2 linked regions of the Drosophila melanogaster genome follow. The protein of the gene in region 1 interacts with the protein of each later gene in a pairwise test. Each region holds a gene or a part of one and is shown in the gene's direction. Other genes may lie near its edges.

Evidence for each region. Proteins that work in one complex are often made in the same cells at the same time.
Region 2: the proteins of Letm1 (region 1) and Jon65Aiv interact in a two-hybrid assay, tested with the Drosophila melanogaster proteins (one large-scale study listed by BioGRID).

Annotation. Positions count from the first base shown.
Region 1 is NT_033778.4:24,508,080-24,519,173, reverse strand, and holds Letm1 (leucine zipper and EF-hand containing transmembrane protein 1), read left to right. Parts: upstream 1-3,853; 5' UTR 3,854-3,943; intron 3,944-4,176; exon of another isoform or gene 4,177-4,303; 5' UTR 4,304-4,565; coding exon 4,566-4,638; intron 4,639-6,002; coding exon 6,003-8,320; intron 8,321-8,380; coding exon 8,381-8,677; intron 8,678-8,734; coding exon 8,735-9,088; 3' UTR 9,089-9,666; downstream 9,667-11,094. Other genes in the region: Ir60b (ionotropic receptor 60b), read right to left, coding at 1,716-3,449. UniProt on the Drosophila melanogaster protein: Mitochondrial proton/calcium antiporter that mediates proton-dependent calcium efflux from mitochondrion.
Region 2 is NT_037436.4:6,036,142-6,042,662, forward strand, and holds Jon65Aiv (jonah 65Aiv), read left to right. Parts: upstream 1-3,013; 5' UTR 3,014-3,054; coding exon 3,055-3,311; intron 3,312-3,388; coding exon 3,389-3,947; 3' UTR 3,948-3,994; downstream 3,995-6,521. Other genes in the region: CG6462 (uncharacterized protein), read left to right, coding at 970-1,929.

The DNA of each region.
Region 1 (11,094 bases):
TTGTCAGATTACACAATTAGTTTATTGGTGTGTGCGTTTCCAGAGCCATCTGTGGTACCCAATCTCGGCCAGCAATGCCAGGCAACTCACGGTAGTTCCGCCAAGAAAGCCAAGCCAGGCAAAGAGAAAATCCTCCCACTTCAGATCGGAATAGGAGTCATGAACCCAGTCCTCCTTGTAGGAGATTTTGTGGATCGCCACCAGCTCGGAAAAGCTTTTCTTGAACCAGAGCAGATAAAGTCCGGCCTCACTTGTCCGCAACCTATATTGCTTGAGGGAACTGAGGAATATTGAGTTGTTCGGCATGGTCATACCCATGATTACGAAGGGCAGAAAGACCATCTCCTTGGAGCGCCGGAAGATGGGTCGGTGCAGTTTGACTTGGGCCTGCCTTAAGAGGGGCCACAAGGTGCCCGTCACGGAGAAGGCGAAGTGCAGCTCCATGGACATCCGCTGGGTCTGAAAATCCGTGGAGTCGGCTGTCTGAAACACATCGCTGTGCGCATCCACATACTCCGCTCCCCTTATCGACTTCAGGTAGTCCATGTCCGTCGGGACCATAAGGATCTTCAGCTTGGCCCTGCGCATTTGATCGAAGTCTGTAACTGGATCACTTGTCGGGGGTTGTATGAGCCAAGCTGTGAGATAGACAATCACGTAGTTGCTCACAAAGAAGCCACTCACCAGAAGCAGCCAGTAGACAAACATTAGTTTTGGGGATAGCCCCTTCGGAAGGACGAACGCCTGTGCCAGGACTCCCCGGAGCACCGTATTGCCCATTGAACAGCACCGCCAGCTAGGAGTTAGGCCAGCTTCAAAGCGATGTGCGTTACTTAGCACGATGGCTAGAAGGATTATCAGCGGTATCAGGTATAGCGATATGCCGAACCTTATGAAGAATCGAGCTCGAGGAAGGCTGGGCTCCATGGGTAGCATGAGGAACCAGCTGGAAATCTCCATGGCGACGTCCTTGTGCAATGTCTGGAAACTGAGACTGCCCAGCCCCAAGGGGAAGTCGACGTGATTGCTTCCCGTTAGGCTGTCCATATCGAAGTCACCGTCCTCCGGGAAGAGGTCCCAGCGGATCTGCAGACTGGCGTTAATGGTGCTCACATAGTTGCGGATGAAGTGGCTGAGGTATCCGCCCATCTGCAGCTCTCCATCCTCACCTTGGTACACCATAGTTCTGGGCATGATGCCATCTGGCACAACCTTCAGGACACATCCCCCCAGATCCTCAAGCTGCGGCTCGAAGTACCGACGCACATCCTTCACCCTGCGCTTTACAACTCGAAGAGTTGGGAATGCCTTGAAGCTGTAAACGAACTCCCTAATGGAGCCATTGAACGCCTTCTAAAAGTAAAATAGTCCTGTAGCCCAGCTCATCCTCTAGAGATTTCAGCATATTTCTCAAGGAACCATCATGTGCCCCGGCCAGGCAGGCGAAAGTGAAGAATAGTGCGAGCCGCATTTCCATGGCGACTATCCGAAACGAGCTGCTAATACATACTGCCACTCTGCTGCTTTGTCCACAGGGTAATGGTTACTGCGATTAGATCTGGTATCCTTCAGTTATACCGGAAAGCAATAACAACGAGTTGTTACTTATTTTAATGGCAGTCTAGTGCCTGCATTTATGAGTGCCTTTATCCAATTAGGATTCCCAGAGCAATGCCTAATAGATATTCATAGTGTTTATTTATTCAAGTTCAATGCTAATTTTGATTTAGTTGCCACCTGTGGTATCCAATCTCGGCGAGGAGTACCAGGATACTAGCGATGGTTCCGCCCACGAAGCCCAGCCACACGTAGCTAAAGTCCTGCCACTCGAAGTCTCGATATATCTGATGATCACCATTCACTTTGTAGTGGATCTTCCGGAGGGCAACCAACTCGTTGAAGCTCCGCTTGAACCAAAACTCGTACAAGCCGCTCTGGTGGGTGAGTGCCCGGTACCGATTCAGTGACTTGTGAAACATTGAGTTCTTCGGCAAGGGCATGGCCATGATAAGCAGCGGTATGAGCACCATCTCCCGAGATCGTCGGAACTCTGGCTTCGGCAGTCGGATCTGGGCGTGCTCCAGCAGTGGCCACAAGGTGCACGTCACAGGATAGGCGTAGGATTGGTCCATAGCCAAGCGCTTGTCTTGGAAATTGCCAGATTTCGAGAGTTCGAAGAGATCGCTGTTGCTCTCCGTGAATTGCTTGCCCAGGGCTTTGGTCATGGAATCCAGCTCGGAGGGGACAATAAGGACTTTCAGGTTCAAGGTGCGCATTTGCTCCCAGCTGTGGATTGGATGTCCCGAGGGGGGATGCACGAGCCAGGTCTCCAGACTGGTGATGGAATAGTTGCTGAAGGTGAATCCATTCAGCAGGATCAGCGAGTAAACCAGCATGAGCTTGACGGAAAGCCTTCTGGGTAGGAAGAATGCTTGGCCCAGTGTTCCTTGCAGAACTCTGTCTCCCAAGACGTAGCAGCGCCAGCTAGGCCGCAAGCCCATCTCAATCCGATGGGCAGTGCTCAGGAGGATTGTGAGCAGCAGCAGCACTGGCGTTACCTTCTCAAAACCCAACATGATGAAAAATTGAGCCCGAGAAAGGGAGGGCTCCATGGGCAGCATGAGGAACCAGCTGGAGACCTCCAAAGGAACGTTTTGGCTCGTCGACCCGTGCTCAATGCCATGCATGCCCAGTGGGAAATCCACATCATGGATCTCCGAGAGCCTGACTACCTCACCTAACTGGATCATGCCGTCCTCGGGAACCAGATGCCAGCAGACCTTGAGGGTTGCGTTAATGGTGCTCACATAGTTCCGCAGGAAGGGGTACAGATATCCAGCCAGCTGGCGACTTCCATCCGGGCTCTTGTAGACAACGGTGCGCGGGATAATGTTGTCGGGCAGAGTAGTGAGGGTATGGCCACCCAGATCTTCGAGTTGCTGCTCGAAGTACTGGAGGATGTCCATAACGTTGCGCTCTATGACACGAAATGTGGGAAAAGCCCGAAAGCTGTAGACGAACCCCCTGTCCAATCCTTTGAAAGCCAAGACATTAAGCATTTTTCTTCGCAGACACTCCAGAAAGACATCCTGGACTTTGGAATCCGAAAGGACGAATAGTATGGTGGGCGTGTCGCGCATATCCTCGAGATTTTCGTAAAGAGCCTGCATGGTGCTCTCAACGTTTTCGTTTAGGCAAACTAGTGCCAGTATATTCGTATTAAGCGCATCTTTAAGATACAAACTTTGATTCGCATTAAAGTTCAGAATTGGCACCGCTCCTTGAATGTACTTCTGCTCCCAACACGATTCAATTTCACTCGCACTTTCTACGAGGAGAATCGCTCTGTACTGCAACTCATTCTCGAGAGCATTCAGAATGTATCTTAGGGATACGCAGTGAACGTCCACCAATCCGATGGCTATGATCAGATACAAACTCCGCCTCATTTTCGAGTTGTCTGCTCTGGAGTGCGGAATCAAGTAGACTGCACGAGTTCTCAGGGTTTTTGGGTAATTAAGAAGTTAAGTCGTATAACTGCCGGAAAAGTACGCATTGTTTTTGGAACAATGGTTAATCGTATGTCATAGGATTTAATTGGAGCTGTGTGTTAATCGAAAGTGGTCTATTTTTGTTAAGAACAAGCTATAAAATGCTAAGCTAGATAAAAAAAAGGTTAAAGTTGCAATATATGTTGCTATTGAAGATGCTTCGATTTAATTCTTCATTTCATGCATTTCTTCAAATACATGGCTCTACATTTTACACAACTATTTTACATCGTTAGTTACATTACATGTGTCTGTAAGCGCAGGAGTCCCCCTAACTATGGCAATTAACATTTGGTATTTTTTAGCACTCGCAGAACGGTCTCTCTGATGTCAAACGTGAGAAAAGTGAAAAAACAGACGGTTTAGTTTAGATTTTATTATTTACTAGCACGGTAGGAATGACAAATGGATTACATATAAGCTGCACTGAGGGCTCGATGTAATCGGCGGCTAAATTATAGGCGTGATTTAACCGGTTGTCACTCGCACGAAATGCGATACTTCGAAATTTGTTGCTGTGTTGTGTAATTTGGTGTGAAGGAGTGTGCGAGGCAAAAACAAAAACAAATCAAGATCGCGCGATATTGCGTCGATGACGTAGCTCAGTGCGTGCGTGCGTGTGTGTGTGTGTGTATGCCTGTGTGTGTTTTTGCAGCCGAAAACCAATTTGGGATCTAATCAATGTATTGACTTTTAACCAAATCGGCAGTAGGCTAAACCAGAATTCCCACCTTCTATTTACTTTCCATTAGGCGAGAATCGTGGGAAGGAACCCGTTACTTGCGCCAACGAAAGTGGAACAGAGAAGCACAGCGAGGACGGTTACAAGCGAAATCAGAGAAAAACAAAGGCGAAATAAGGCAAAAGCAATCAGAAGTCGAGCGACAGAGAACCCAAAGATACACAATCCACAGACAGTTTGTCGGAAATTCAAAATTCCATTTGAAAATACTTTGGATTCGGTTTGGAGGCCGAGCCTAGCCACGCCCCCCTGCACCACCACCCGCCACCGCCATGAACGCCCTGCTGCGTCACAAGGGACGCAATCTGCGGACGAGTCACTTGGCCCAGAATGTCTACAAGCGCTGTAAGTTGGCCAAAACTGGGAAGCGAAGGCGAAATCGCGTGAAAACTTTCCATTCGCGTGTGTGTTAGCGGGCATTTTGTTATGACTGCACTTTCGCTGGAAAGAACAGCTGACTGGCTGGAAACTGCGACGTGCGCTGGAAGTTATGTAGTGGGGGGCTTCGAATTTATTTGTTTTCGAGTAAACACCAAATTTATCATTCATTCCTAGAGTTCTTACCGGTTTCGGAGCTCTACTGACGTATCAGTGCTTCGAAAACTTAGCTGCTAATTTAATTATTCGTATTGTTTTCAACGATTTGTTGACTTTGGATCGCGACAACTGGCAATCTTATCTTTCAGCCTATACATATGGCTTAATTTCGATAATATAATTTCTTTATCTTCAACATCTTGCACCACACGCCGAATGGTTCTTTTAGGTTATAAAAGATGGGATTATTCTTATAGACCTTGGACAATTTTTGTATCTACTGGTGACTTATAATGCGACAGATTCAGATTTCGTAGGAAATCACCTGCCAGGGAAGAGGCCCAAAGACCAGCCAGGTACCAGCAAGACCAGACAAAGAGGCACCTGCGGGAAAGTACAGTCATAGTCCAGAGCAGATAGTATTGTTTACCCACAATTGAAACAATCATAGAGACTTGAAATAGGTCGGAATTACCCGCACCTTCTCCACAGCAGTTCCTCTTCTTGTTTCCCCTCCTTCGACTCAATTGCAAAATCATTTACCTTGAGCGTTTGCCAAGAATCGGAAAATCAAAAAAGAGAAGACAAAAGGAAAAGTGCGCTGTAAACAAATGCAGTCGACGCGGCCGTCTGAATGTTTGCTAAGCATGTATTTATAGAGGTTGAGAATTCTCACCGGTTGTGCGAATTTTCGTTTTCTCGCTCTGGGATTTATGTAAGCTCCACTCCAGGTGCTAATTTATCTGGTCTGTCGTCGGCAATCTTTGCCTTTCTATTATCAACTATCGAGCTCACTGAAAATCCCAACAAAATCTATAGTCAAGCGGCAGTGCGCTTATCAACCACAAACTTTTCCCATTTTTTGTAGCTATGATTAATAACTCATTAGGTGTTATTTCTTTCGTTCTTTGTTTCCTTATTTTCCTTTGGCCCTTCATCTGCTCTTATTTTTATTAAAACATGAAAGGCTGTTCGGGAAATCGTATGGAATCAGGTTATTGACCTGAAAGATTCCTTTGTGAGAATATTACATTGTTTTATTTCTTTGTTGTAATTTAATCGGATATACAGAAATCACTTGAACTTTCCAGTTTTTAAATATAGCTATACTTATCTTACTAACTTCGTATTATTTTTCTTACTTAACATATTTTTCAATATTTTTTTTGCAGTTCTTAAATCGAACTGTTGCGCATGCAGTTCGGTGAACGTCACAGATGAACCCGCCAAAGAAGATGAACTACCGCGAAGATCTGCTTCGACCTCGGTGCTGGAGCTAAGCAGATCGCTTGGCACTTACCGAAGGTTTCAGCCACATGCCAACTATGGATACGACTACTCCGGCTATGGATTTAGGCATCTGCATACGAGCCGGACTTTGCTGGAGACGTCCAGCTCAAAGATCGACGCAACAGTCAAGAAGCTGAAAAACCAGCAGAAGGAGAAGGTGGAGGAGATCATGAAGGAGGTGGCCAATGGACAGGCCGCGGCAGTTCGTGCCAGCAGTGCCGCTACCGCCACGGCCTCCTCGGAGAAGGGTCAAAACGCTAGTGCGACCGCGGGCTCCACGTCGGCGACTGCCTCAACGACGTCTTTGGCCAAGACCGCAGACAAGTCGGTGGCCAAGCCAAAGAAACCACTCCGCACACGGATTTGGGATGAGCTGGTGCACTATTACCACGGCTTTAGGCTGCTCTTCATCGATGTGGCAATTTGCTCTAAGCTCCTTTGGCGAGTGCTCAACGGCAAGACGCTCACGCGGCGCGAGAACAAGCAGCTTCAGCGGACCACCTCTGACTTGTTCCGTCTGATCCCCTTTTCGGTGTTCATCATCGTGCCCTTCATGGAGCTGCTGCTGCCGTTGTTCATAAAATTCTTCCCCGGCATGCTGCCCTCCACGTTCCAGACTTCGACCGATCGACAGGAGAAGCTCCGGCAGTCACTTAGCGTTCGCCTGGAGGTGGCCAAGTTCTTGCAGCAGACCCTAGATCAGATGCCCGTCCAGCACAAGGAACACAGCAGCGAAGAGGCCAAGCAGTTCGAGGCCTTTTTCACTAAAATCCGGAATCCCACTGAACCAGTGAGCAACGATGAAATCATCAAATTCGCCAAGCGATTCGACGATGAGATCACCTTAGATTCACTGTCCCGGGAGCAATTGGCGGCTCTTTGTCGCGTCCTTGAACTGAACACAATTGGCACCACCACGCTGCTGCGGTTCCAGCTGCGTCTGAAGCTGAGATCTTTGGCCACCGATGACCGCGTTATTGCCCGCGAAGGAGTCGACTCCCTGGACCTTCTAGAGCTGCAACAGGCGTGCAAGGCACGTGGAATGCGGGCATATGGCCTAACGGAGGAGCGTCTTCGTTTTCAGCTTAAGGAGTGGATAGATCTCTCCCTGAACGAACAGGTACCGCCTACGCTGCTGCTCCTGTCAAGAACCATGCTTATTTCCGACGACAGCATCACCACCGATAAGCTCAAGGAGACGATTCGTGTGCTACCGGATGCAGTGGGTGCCCACACACGGCACGCTATCGGGGAGAGTGAGGGCAAGGTGGACAACAAGACGAAGATCGAAATCATCAAGGAGGAGGAGCGCAAGATTCGCGAAGAGCGCGAGGAAGAGCGGGAAGAGACCATCGCAAAACGATCGGCCATCAAGGAGGAGATTCCCGCTCCTTATGTATTTGCTGAGAAGTTGTCGGGTTCCCAGGATCTTCTGGATCACAAGGAACAGTCCTCGGTGTCCGAGACGGACAAGGGCATTTCCTCTACCGATGTACAGCTGCTGTCTGAGGCCCTAAAGACACTCTCATCTGATAAACAGCTCGTGGTGGAAAAGGAAACAATCAAGGAACTCAAGGAGGAATTGGCCGACTATAAGGAGGATGTGGAGGAGCTACGCGAGGTGCGACAGGTAGTCAAGGAGCCTGTGCGCGAAAGCCGGGCGGCCAAGTTGCTCTACAATCGGGTCAACAAGATGATTTCCCAACTCGATAATGTGCTTAACGACCTAGAGGCCAGGCAGCATCAAATCAAGCAGGCGGAATCCTCTGATTACGCGGCGTCCAGTCCCACTGTGGAACCACAGCAAATGGTGCACATTGACGAGCTGGTCGCCACCATCCGGCGAATGAAGGAGGCATCCGATGAAGAGCGATTCAAGGTTGTCGGGGATCTGCTGGTCAAACTCGACGCGGACAAAGACGGTGTGATTTCGGTGAACGAGATCACCAAGGCGGTGCAGAGCATCGACCGCGAGGCCACGAATATCGACAAGAAGCAGCTGGAGGAGTTTACCGAGCTACTTTCCAAGTTGGCGTCCCGGCGACGACACGAGGAGATCGTGCACATCGACGATTTAATGAATAACATCAAGGTGTTGAAGGAAACTAGCGATGAGGCACGACTTAAGCACATCGAAGCTGTACTGGAGAAATTTGATGCCGACAAGGATGGCGTGGTGACCGTCAACGATATTCGTAAGGTAATAAAATCATGTTCCTTAGGCTGAACATACACTCAATTGGTTTGGTGTTCCTTACAGGTGTTGGAATCCATTGGTCGTGATAACATCAAGCTGAGCGACAAGGCCATTGAGGAACTCATCAGTCTGCTTGACAAGGAGCAAGTACTGCAGGCAGAGCAGAAGATTGAGAAGGCCATTGCTAAGAGCATGAAAGAGGCTGAGAAACTGAAGTCTGAGGTGGACAAAGCGGATAAGGACTTGTCCAAGCTTGTTAATGATATTCACGATTCCGCCAAGGAGATTCAGGATATTGCCAACGAGATGCGTGATAAGGAGGAAACTGTGCCCGATAAAGCGAAGGAGCTAAAAGCAGAGGTAAGTCTTTGGTTTTGACATACAGTGGTCAGCGTTCTAACAGATCAGTTTATTTAGCCCGCATTCAAGGATACGGCCAAAACATTGAAGGACAACGCAAAGGACCTGGACGATTTAGCGAAGGACCCAAAGTCAGACCCCAAATCCCCGACAAAGGCTTCTACAGGGTCCGGTCCAGCCGGACTGTCAGGTGGAGGCCCCAGCAGTGGCAGTAGCGGTATTGCCACCGGATCAACGACGGAATCAGCGCTCCGAGAGGCGGCCGAGCGTCAAATGGAAAAGATCCTGCCCTCCACAGACATTGGTCTGCCCCCCACGATACAAACACCATCGCAACCACCGACGTCAAAAAAAGCAACGGCCACTGCGTCGACCCTGTCCACGACGATAACGGCCAAGAAACTGCTCTGACCAGTCAGACGGTCCAAGAAGGGAGATGCTGAGACAACTCTTAAGCGTGAACCTAAGCCGAAGTGATGTGTTGGAGTAGGGGCGGTGGCGGTGTTGCTCGTGTGTCCCATATTGTTCCGACTATGCAATGAATTAACTGTTACCATTTAACATAAACGTAGCAGGATGAGGAGAGTTTGCTATACTTAACGCGTGGCTGTAGTACGGTATCTTCTTTAAGTAAGGCACAAATCAGAAACTACTAGAAATACATAAGAATGTACACTTTACACATATATCTTGATTTCCAACGACCTAGTTTTACATAAAACCCATTCGAAGCAAGTTGTTTGTAGCTCCTTTTTATTTGGCCCAAATTTGCGAAGCGATTGTGATCATTAGGCGAAATGTTAATTTACGACTTATTCATCTATTAATACGTACGTATATCTATCAAGCAAGTTGATTCGCCCGACCGGTTTTCAGGTAATACCGAAAGGTGGCGAGACATTGGAGAATAATTAAAACCACGTGATAGATCTAAACAATAATGTGTGTGCTTGACTTAGCAAACTGAATTTGTAAAAGTGTTTCGCAATAAAAGTTAGTATAAAAACAAAAGACGAACTGTAATTACGGGAAAACGAGTCGGAAAGTGCCCTATTATCTGTGAACTCGCCTTGAATGCCGATGCACAAGTTCTAAACGGCTATATCACCAATTTCCTAGAAACTACTGCTGAATGGCCATTCGGGACTTTAAATGACTGACTCCGACCGAACAATTGCTTTTACGAACCGCATTGATTGCTCAGAATTATATTTTTGCATTGTTTATTTCCTCGAGGGCGGGATGGTGTTCCACAACCGCACCCAAAAACCCGGACTTGCCAACTGGCCAGCAGTGATTCGGAATCGACAACCGCAGAACCCAAACTTTTACGGCCAAGTTAGTTTTGTCCGATGGGGTGCGGGTGGGGGGGGGGGGGTGGGGGGGCACTGCATGTTCAGCATCATATCCTGGGCTATTGAAGTAATAAAAATTACCACAAAATGTTCCAAAATTCCATCTTTGCCTGCCCGCTGACCCATAAATTCCCATCATATTCAGCGAGGGCCAAGAAAGTGTGGTATTCGTAAAGCATTCGGCTCCCAGCTATGTTGGCCTCTTTTCGGCCAAATAAATTAAATATGGCCCTGCGTAGGATTAGTAACTTGTGTATGCCCCAGCATTAATCAATCCCAGTTTGTGCGTAAACATGCGAAACTTTCGACCAGCAGCGAAATCGAAAACAAATAGACGCAAAGCGCTGGAAAAGAATACAGCGGAAATTTATTTAAAGGTAAATAGAACCGACAAAACGCGAAACAAGCCAAATAATAATAAACTTCAGTTCCGCTGGGAGGGAACTGTTGTTTGCAATCAGGCAAGCCCGACCATCCAACCATCCAACCACCGAACAACCCAACAGCCCAACAACCAGGAACCGCAGACAGACCAGAGGATCCGAGGAGCCGGTGATCCGGAGGGGTCGGTCGCTGGTCGGAATATGCTGGATGGGCAGGACGGGAAAGTTGGCAGAGCGTCTTGGTCGGCGAAAGTTTGCGCAGCTCAAAGTGCTTCGGATGCAACAATGAAACTCGAAATCTGCCATGAATGGTCTGAAGTGCAGACAATCAGCGACAGAGGACAGAGGACACAGGACAAGCGAACCGGGTGAACTTAAAGCATTGCGCCATGGAACGAAGTTAGTAAGTTTTAGAGCCAACGCTCGGAGAATGCTCATTCCAGTGGCGGGTTGGCGGAAAAATTGCAAAATTATTTGAAGAAATGTTACAAAACAATTAAAAAGTTGCCGACTTTCATGAGTCAATCAAAAGAGAGGCAGCCGCAACGAGTTCCGCTGCGAGAAGTTGCCCAACTTTGGCCCACTTTGAATGTCAGACAACAAGCATACGCCCCGTTGTACGTCATGCGAGCGGCAGACTAATGCAATTGTCCTTGCTGGATTTCATTTTCCGTCCAAC
Region 2 (6,521 bases), on another chromosome or scaffold:
AATATTATAAATAAAACTGTAATCATGATTTTACACATGTTAGACTTTTAAATAATGTCTAGAGATTGAGATCTACTCTCTTACCGTTTAATGAATCAGATTTCATAATAACTCTTATAGACTAACTTAATACACTTCTGGCTTTTGATATCGCCAAAGTGGGTACTTTATGATCGGTGACGAAATCGGGGCCTTGGATTGTAAAACCCCACAGCCATTCAACTCCAGGAAAATTATCAATGGCCTTTCATGTGTCGAAATGCAGGCGAAGGTGTGCAGTAAATTAAACAAATAATAAACTAAGCGTTGATAAAACGACAGTCAATAAATACAGAGACCCCGACCCAGACATTCTGGCCAATGTTGGGGGCTAAGACTGAAATCGTGCAATTGAGGACCCGGGAAAATGGGGGGTTCGAAAGCAATTAAGGAAACTGCAGTATGCCAAAGGGAGACGAAGGCCTAGCCTAAGCAACATAATCGCCAAAACGTGCGGCAATTACACGGTAGCTGGAGGAATTGAATGCCAAACATCTGCTGCTCCTCCCGTCTCCGTATAATTTGCACTCGGCCCAAGCAAATTCAATTAACAAACGATGCGGACACGTGCCGCATCCAAGTCGATGACGCAATGTCGATGCCACAATCGCTGACTATAAAAACACCAGCAAATACAACAACAAGCCCAGTACTTCACGTGAAGAGCCCACTCAGACCTGAACTTGGACTAACTCATTACGAGGAACATCAGCTATATATATAATATATGTAAATAAAAAGGCAATTCATTCATAAATTTCATTCAACATAATGAATAGAGTTTCCTATTCACATATTTAAGGGGGGGGGGGGGGCGGGGGGTATTCTATGAATTTGGTCAGAAAAAGGAAATATTACATTTAAAAGATATAGTATAGAATGCAATAACAGGTATTCCCCATATTATTTTTTCAATTCCGTAGTGATAAAATGGCGCAATACCAGGCTACAAGTGCTTTCTTCCTGCTACTTCTATCATCCACACTAGTTAAATCAAGTGAGCCTTGGCTAGATACTTTTGAGCACCCCAAAGAGGAGACACCGGACGATGACGATGCAATCATGGAAAGACGTTGGCAGCTTGGCTACGAAAACTTTCGACTTCGCTGCGAAAAATTCGAGATGGAAGGTAATCAAACCGCTGCTGTGAGAACTCGAATAGCTGGAGGAGAATTGGCCACGCGCGGCATGTTTCCCTATCAAGTGGGTCTGGTGATTCAGCTGAGTGGCGCAGATCTGGTCAAGTGCGGTGGTTCCCTTATCACTCTTCAATTTGTTTTGACTGCAGCCCATTGTCTGACCGATGCCATAGCTGCAAAGATATACACGGGCGCCACCGTATTTGCCGATGTAGAAGACTCCGTGGAGGAGTTACAAGTCACGCATAGAGATTTCATTATTTATCCTGATTACTTGGGATTTGGAGGATATAGTGACTTGGCTTTAATACGACTGCCAAGAAAAGTCAGAACTTCAGAACAAGTGCAACCCATTGAGTTGGCTGGGGAGTTCATGCATCAAAACTTTCTGGTAGGCAAAGTGGTGACCCTATCTGGCTGGGGTTACTTGGGAGATTCAACCGACAAACGGACGCGACTCCTCCAGTACTTAGATGCGGAGGTGATCGATCAGGAACGCTGCATCTGCTATTTCCTGCCAGGATTGGTTAGCCAGCGACGTCACCTGTGCACCGATGGAAGCAATGGACGTGGTGCCTGCAATGGCGACTCCGGTGGCCCCGTTGTGTACCACTGGCGCAATGTTAGCTACCTGATTGGGGTCACCTCGTTCGGCAGTGCCGAAGGATGCGAGGTGGGGGGTCCCACTGTCTACACCAGGATAACCGCATATTTGCCATGGATCCGACAGCAAACGGCAATGACCAACTAAATGCAATTAACGCCTAATTGCAGCCCATTAATTGCTAAACAATATAGTCGGCCCAGACAATAAAACCAATTTGAGCAATGAAACCAAAACAGGTTCTTCTGTCGAGAAAGGAAGGTGCAAATGGTCCATTTTATGTGTGGTTGTTTTCTCTTGAATGAAAATTGTTACCGATAAATAACAATAAACATTTCGGCATTGCAGAAGAGCAAGTCAATTTGGGGAGCTCAATAAGGGCACAAAAGAAAAATTACATTGCCATGGAAATTGCTGATGAATCGCCACTGAAATTGAAATCATTGGGTTGAGTGTCCGTTTTTGGTGAGGGCATATTGGGTACAGACCGCAGCGCCTCCTCCCGCTAATCGCCTTCAATTGGCCATCTGAATTGGCTATTAACCGCAGTGATGTGGTCGGTTGAACGCGTCATAAAATCACGCGGCTTTCGCTGATAAAGAAGGCTGCGGTTGCGAAAACAACTGAAATTTGCGTGTTTGTAATCAAAGAGAGAGTCCAGATACGCAATTGTTAGACGGCGGTATGATTTCCTATGAAGTTTAAGCAGTCTTGACCAACTCACGTCCTACTCCTTGACCTTTATCGAAGGTAAACAAACCCAACTAAACTGTGGGCTTACGGCTTCTCACCCTATAGACAGGAGATAAGATAGCACTCGACTACCATGGGAATTATAAGATACGCTGAAGAGCAAAGCAAACCTTTGCCAATTTTGTATCGCAATATATAGTTATGTATATATCGCGTATGTGTAAAACTAATCAAATTAATTAGCAACCCCATGCTAGGCCTTTGGTATCGCAGCGGCTCGATCTGGAAATCCACTCGAAGCCCATAGCCCTGATTAGATCCGTATCGGGATTAATACTCTTGGATTGGGAAAGTAATTTTGGCGACCGTGTGGCTGAAGTTCATTCATTCATATCTTCGGCACAAAATCTCAACAGATAAGGTAGTTCGAACCGACTTTAGTGGTCCTATCTAATCGGGACAGCTCTATTTCTGAATTGCAACCCAATCGCAGACGCGACTTGGCCAGTATAAAAGACCCCAGCTGGTCCTTGGCCAAACAGTTGAGTTCCCTTAACTGAACAAGCAACAATTCCCAAGATGAAGTTCCTGATCATCCTTGCCCTGGCTGTGGCCGCCTCCGCTTTCCCCGAGCCGGAGCTGCGCCATCGCAGCCGCGAGATGCCCGTCGTTGGCGACATTGGAGGTCGCATCACCGGAGGAAGCAACGCCGCCGTCGGCCAGTTCCCCTACCAGGTGGGACTTTCCCTGAAGCTGAGTGCTCTGTCCAGCGCCTGGTGCGGTGGTTCTCTGATCGGCAGCACCTGGGTCCTGACCGCTGCTCACTGTACCGATGGGTGAGTGTCCCTTGAAGGAATGCCGAAAATATCTTGGAACCAATGTCCTAACCAATTGTATGTTTGATTTATCGCAGAGTTCAGTCCGTGACCGTCTACTTGGGCGCCACCGTGCGCACCTCCGCCGAGATCACCCACACCGTGTCCAGCTCCGACATCATCATCCACTCCGGCTGGAACAGCGCTAACCTGCGCAACGACATCTCCCTGATCAAGATCCCCGCCACCTCCTCCAGCAGCAGGATCTCCGCCGTCAAGCTGCCAAGCATCTCCAACTCCTACTCGACCTTCGTCGGTGACGTCGCTGTCGCCTCCGGATGGGGACGCACCAGTGACACCTCCAGTGGTGTGGCTACCAATCTTCAGTATGTCGACCTGACTGTGATCACCAACACCAAGTGCGCCCAAACCTACGGCACCTCGGTCGTGACCGACTCAACCCTCTGCGTGGCCACCACCGACGCCAAGTCCACCTGCAACGGTGACTCCGGCGGTCCTCTGGTCCTCAAGTCGTCCAGCGAGCAGATCGGTCTGACCTCATTCGGTGCCTCTGCCGGTTGCGAGAAGGGCTACCCCGCTGCCTTCACTCGTGTGACCAGCTACCTGGACTGGATCAAGACTAACACTGGCATCTAGGAAGGAGTCAGGAACTACAATTTCGCTTAAAAATAAAAATCATTTCTAAAAAATTCAAAAGTTTTATAGCTCTATAGGGGGAATTTCGGAAACGTAGATCTTCATTTATAAATTTCTTTACTCAATATAGATCAAAAGAGAACTTATGTTCCCAGTTTGAGGGTCGTCGGTTATAGTAACAATCCATATCGTCTTGTACATATGCTTTTGTCTAAAATCAAAAATCATCACAAAACAGACAAATGAAAATGAATGCAGAACCAAGCTGTTACTGGCATTCGGCGAGTAAGTTCTCATTAAAATTCATTAAATTGCCAAGCGACACAATTTTTTTTTTTTTTTATTAATTTTTATTATTTATTGAATCTTCCCTTTGTGTTAAGAGACTAACAATAAGTGTTCAAATCTTAATCTAACTTAATTAACTTTCACTTAGTGATAGTTTTTTTTTTTCATTAATGCCCTAATAAGTTTATTGCTGGGCTGGGAGGTCGTTGCGGTGCAGCCGGCTTTGACTGCATACTCGGATTAGTTTTCTTGCGAGGGGATTTGTATGGGTGGTCAGCTTTTCGTTATACTTCGTTTTTTTCTCAGCTATTACTTCGATTACTAATTTGATTTTTAGGTCTCTGTGTATGTTTTCGTTCCGAAGGTACCACGGCGCTCCAGTGATAATTCTCAGAATTCTTGACTGTGCTCGCTGAATAATGTCTATGTTACTTCTGGATGCGTTGCCCCACAGCTCGGAGCCATAAGTCCAGATAGGTTTTAAGACGGAGTTGTATAGAAGAGCTTTGAACTCCAGACTAAGTGGAGAGCGAGCATTTATGAGCCAGTGGAGGTTCCTTGCTTTAAGTTTAAGATGTTTCGATTTGGCTTCTATATGTTTGCGCCAAGTGAGCCGCCTGTCCAGATGAACTCCCAGATATGTTACCTCGTCGGCTTGTGGAATGCATATGTTATTCAAGACCAGTGGTGGGCATGTTTGTTTGTTTAAGGTAAAGGTAACCTGCTTGCATTTTTGAACATTTATTGAAATTCTCCAGTCGGCAAGCCATCGTTCTACAGATGTTAAGTGTCGGGATAGGAGTGCCGTGGCTTTTATTGGGCATTTCGAGCGACTGAGTATCGCGGTATCATCAGCGAACGTGGAGGTTGTTAGATTGTAGTCTATGGGGAAATCCGCCGTATACAGGGTGTATAAGATTGGACCCAGTACACTGCCTTGCGGCACTCCAGCTTCGATTGCGCAATCGCGTGAAGTGCTTGTATCGCATCTTATTGCAAACACTCTGTTATATAGGTATGACTTCAGTAGCTTATGTGTGTTTTGGGGCAACAGCTTGATTATTTTAAACAAAAGTCCATCGAGCCACACTCTGTCAAATGCCTGCGCGACGTCTAGAAAAATGGCTGTGCAGTATTCTCGATGTTCAAAAGCAGTACGAATTTCTGACGTGATTCGGTTGACCTGTTCGATGGTTCCATGTTTTTCTCTAAAGCCAAATTGATGTGTTGGAAGTGTGTTGTTTATTCTAAGATGAGGGCTAATCCGAAGGAGTAGCATTTTTTCAAACAGCTTTGAAAGACATGTTAGTAAGCTTATCGGTCTATATGATGATGGCTGCGTTTTATCTTTTCCTGGCTTTGGAATCATTACTATGGTCGACTTTTTCCATTTTTGAGGGAAGTATCCAAGCTTGGCGATTGCGTTGAACAACAGGCAGATGTGAAGAATAGCACACTTTGGGAGTTCAATGAGCATTCTTGGAGTTATTAGGTCGTAGCCAGGCGATTTTCTTGGGTTCAGTTGCTCTTTGATAACCTTTGCTAGTTCACATGGTCGGAATTCAAAGGGTTCTTGAGGATCTAGATTGGCTGCTATTAAAGGAGGGAGAATAAATGTGTTGGTAGAGGGGTTTGGTCGGAATACATTTTGTAAATGGTCAGCGAAAGCACTGGCTCGTTCTTCATCACTTCGAAACCAGGTGCCAGAGGGACTTCGTAGTGGCATAATTGGCGCTATTGGAGTCTTTAGGTTTCTGTGAGCTCTCCAAAGAGGGTACTTAGTGCTGGTGGGAGAGAGTTGCTCGATATATGAACGTTGGCTGTTTTTTTTCCTCTTGTTTGAGAGCATTGGTAAGCCTGCGTGTGGCTATCTTAAGCATGTGCTTAGTAATTGGTGATCTATTAGACTGCCAATCCCTTCGTAGGCGTCGTTTATCTAATACCAGCCGCTCGATTTCGCGATTAGTTTTGATGTAGTTTGGTTTTGCATACGTCACTGGCGGGGTTGAAGCCTTTGCAGCCGAAACTAAAATGTTTTCAAGAGTTTCCGTTGACTTGTCTATATCCTCCTTTGTAGATAATGCCGTCGTTAGTTCTATGTGTGAACAGACATACTTTTGATACCTTGGCCAGTTTGTTCTAAAATTTGTGAGTCTATACGGTGGGTCGACGATGTGGGGGCGAGTTAGCATATTTAGAAAAACAGGTGAGTGATCTGATGATAAATCTGCTAGTGCTTCGGCGGTGACCATGTTGCGGGGGACATGTTTAGTAATTGCAAAATCG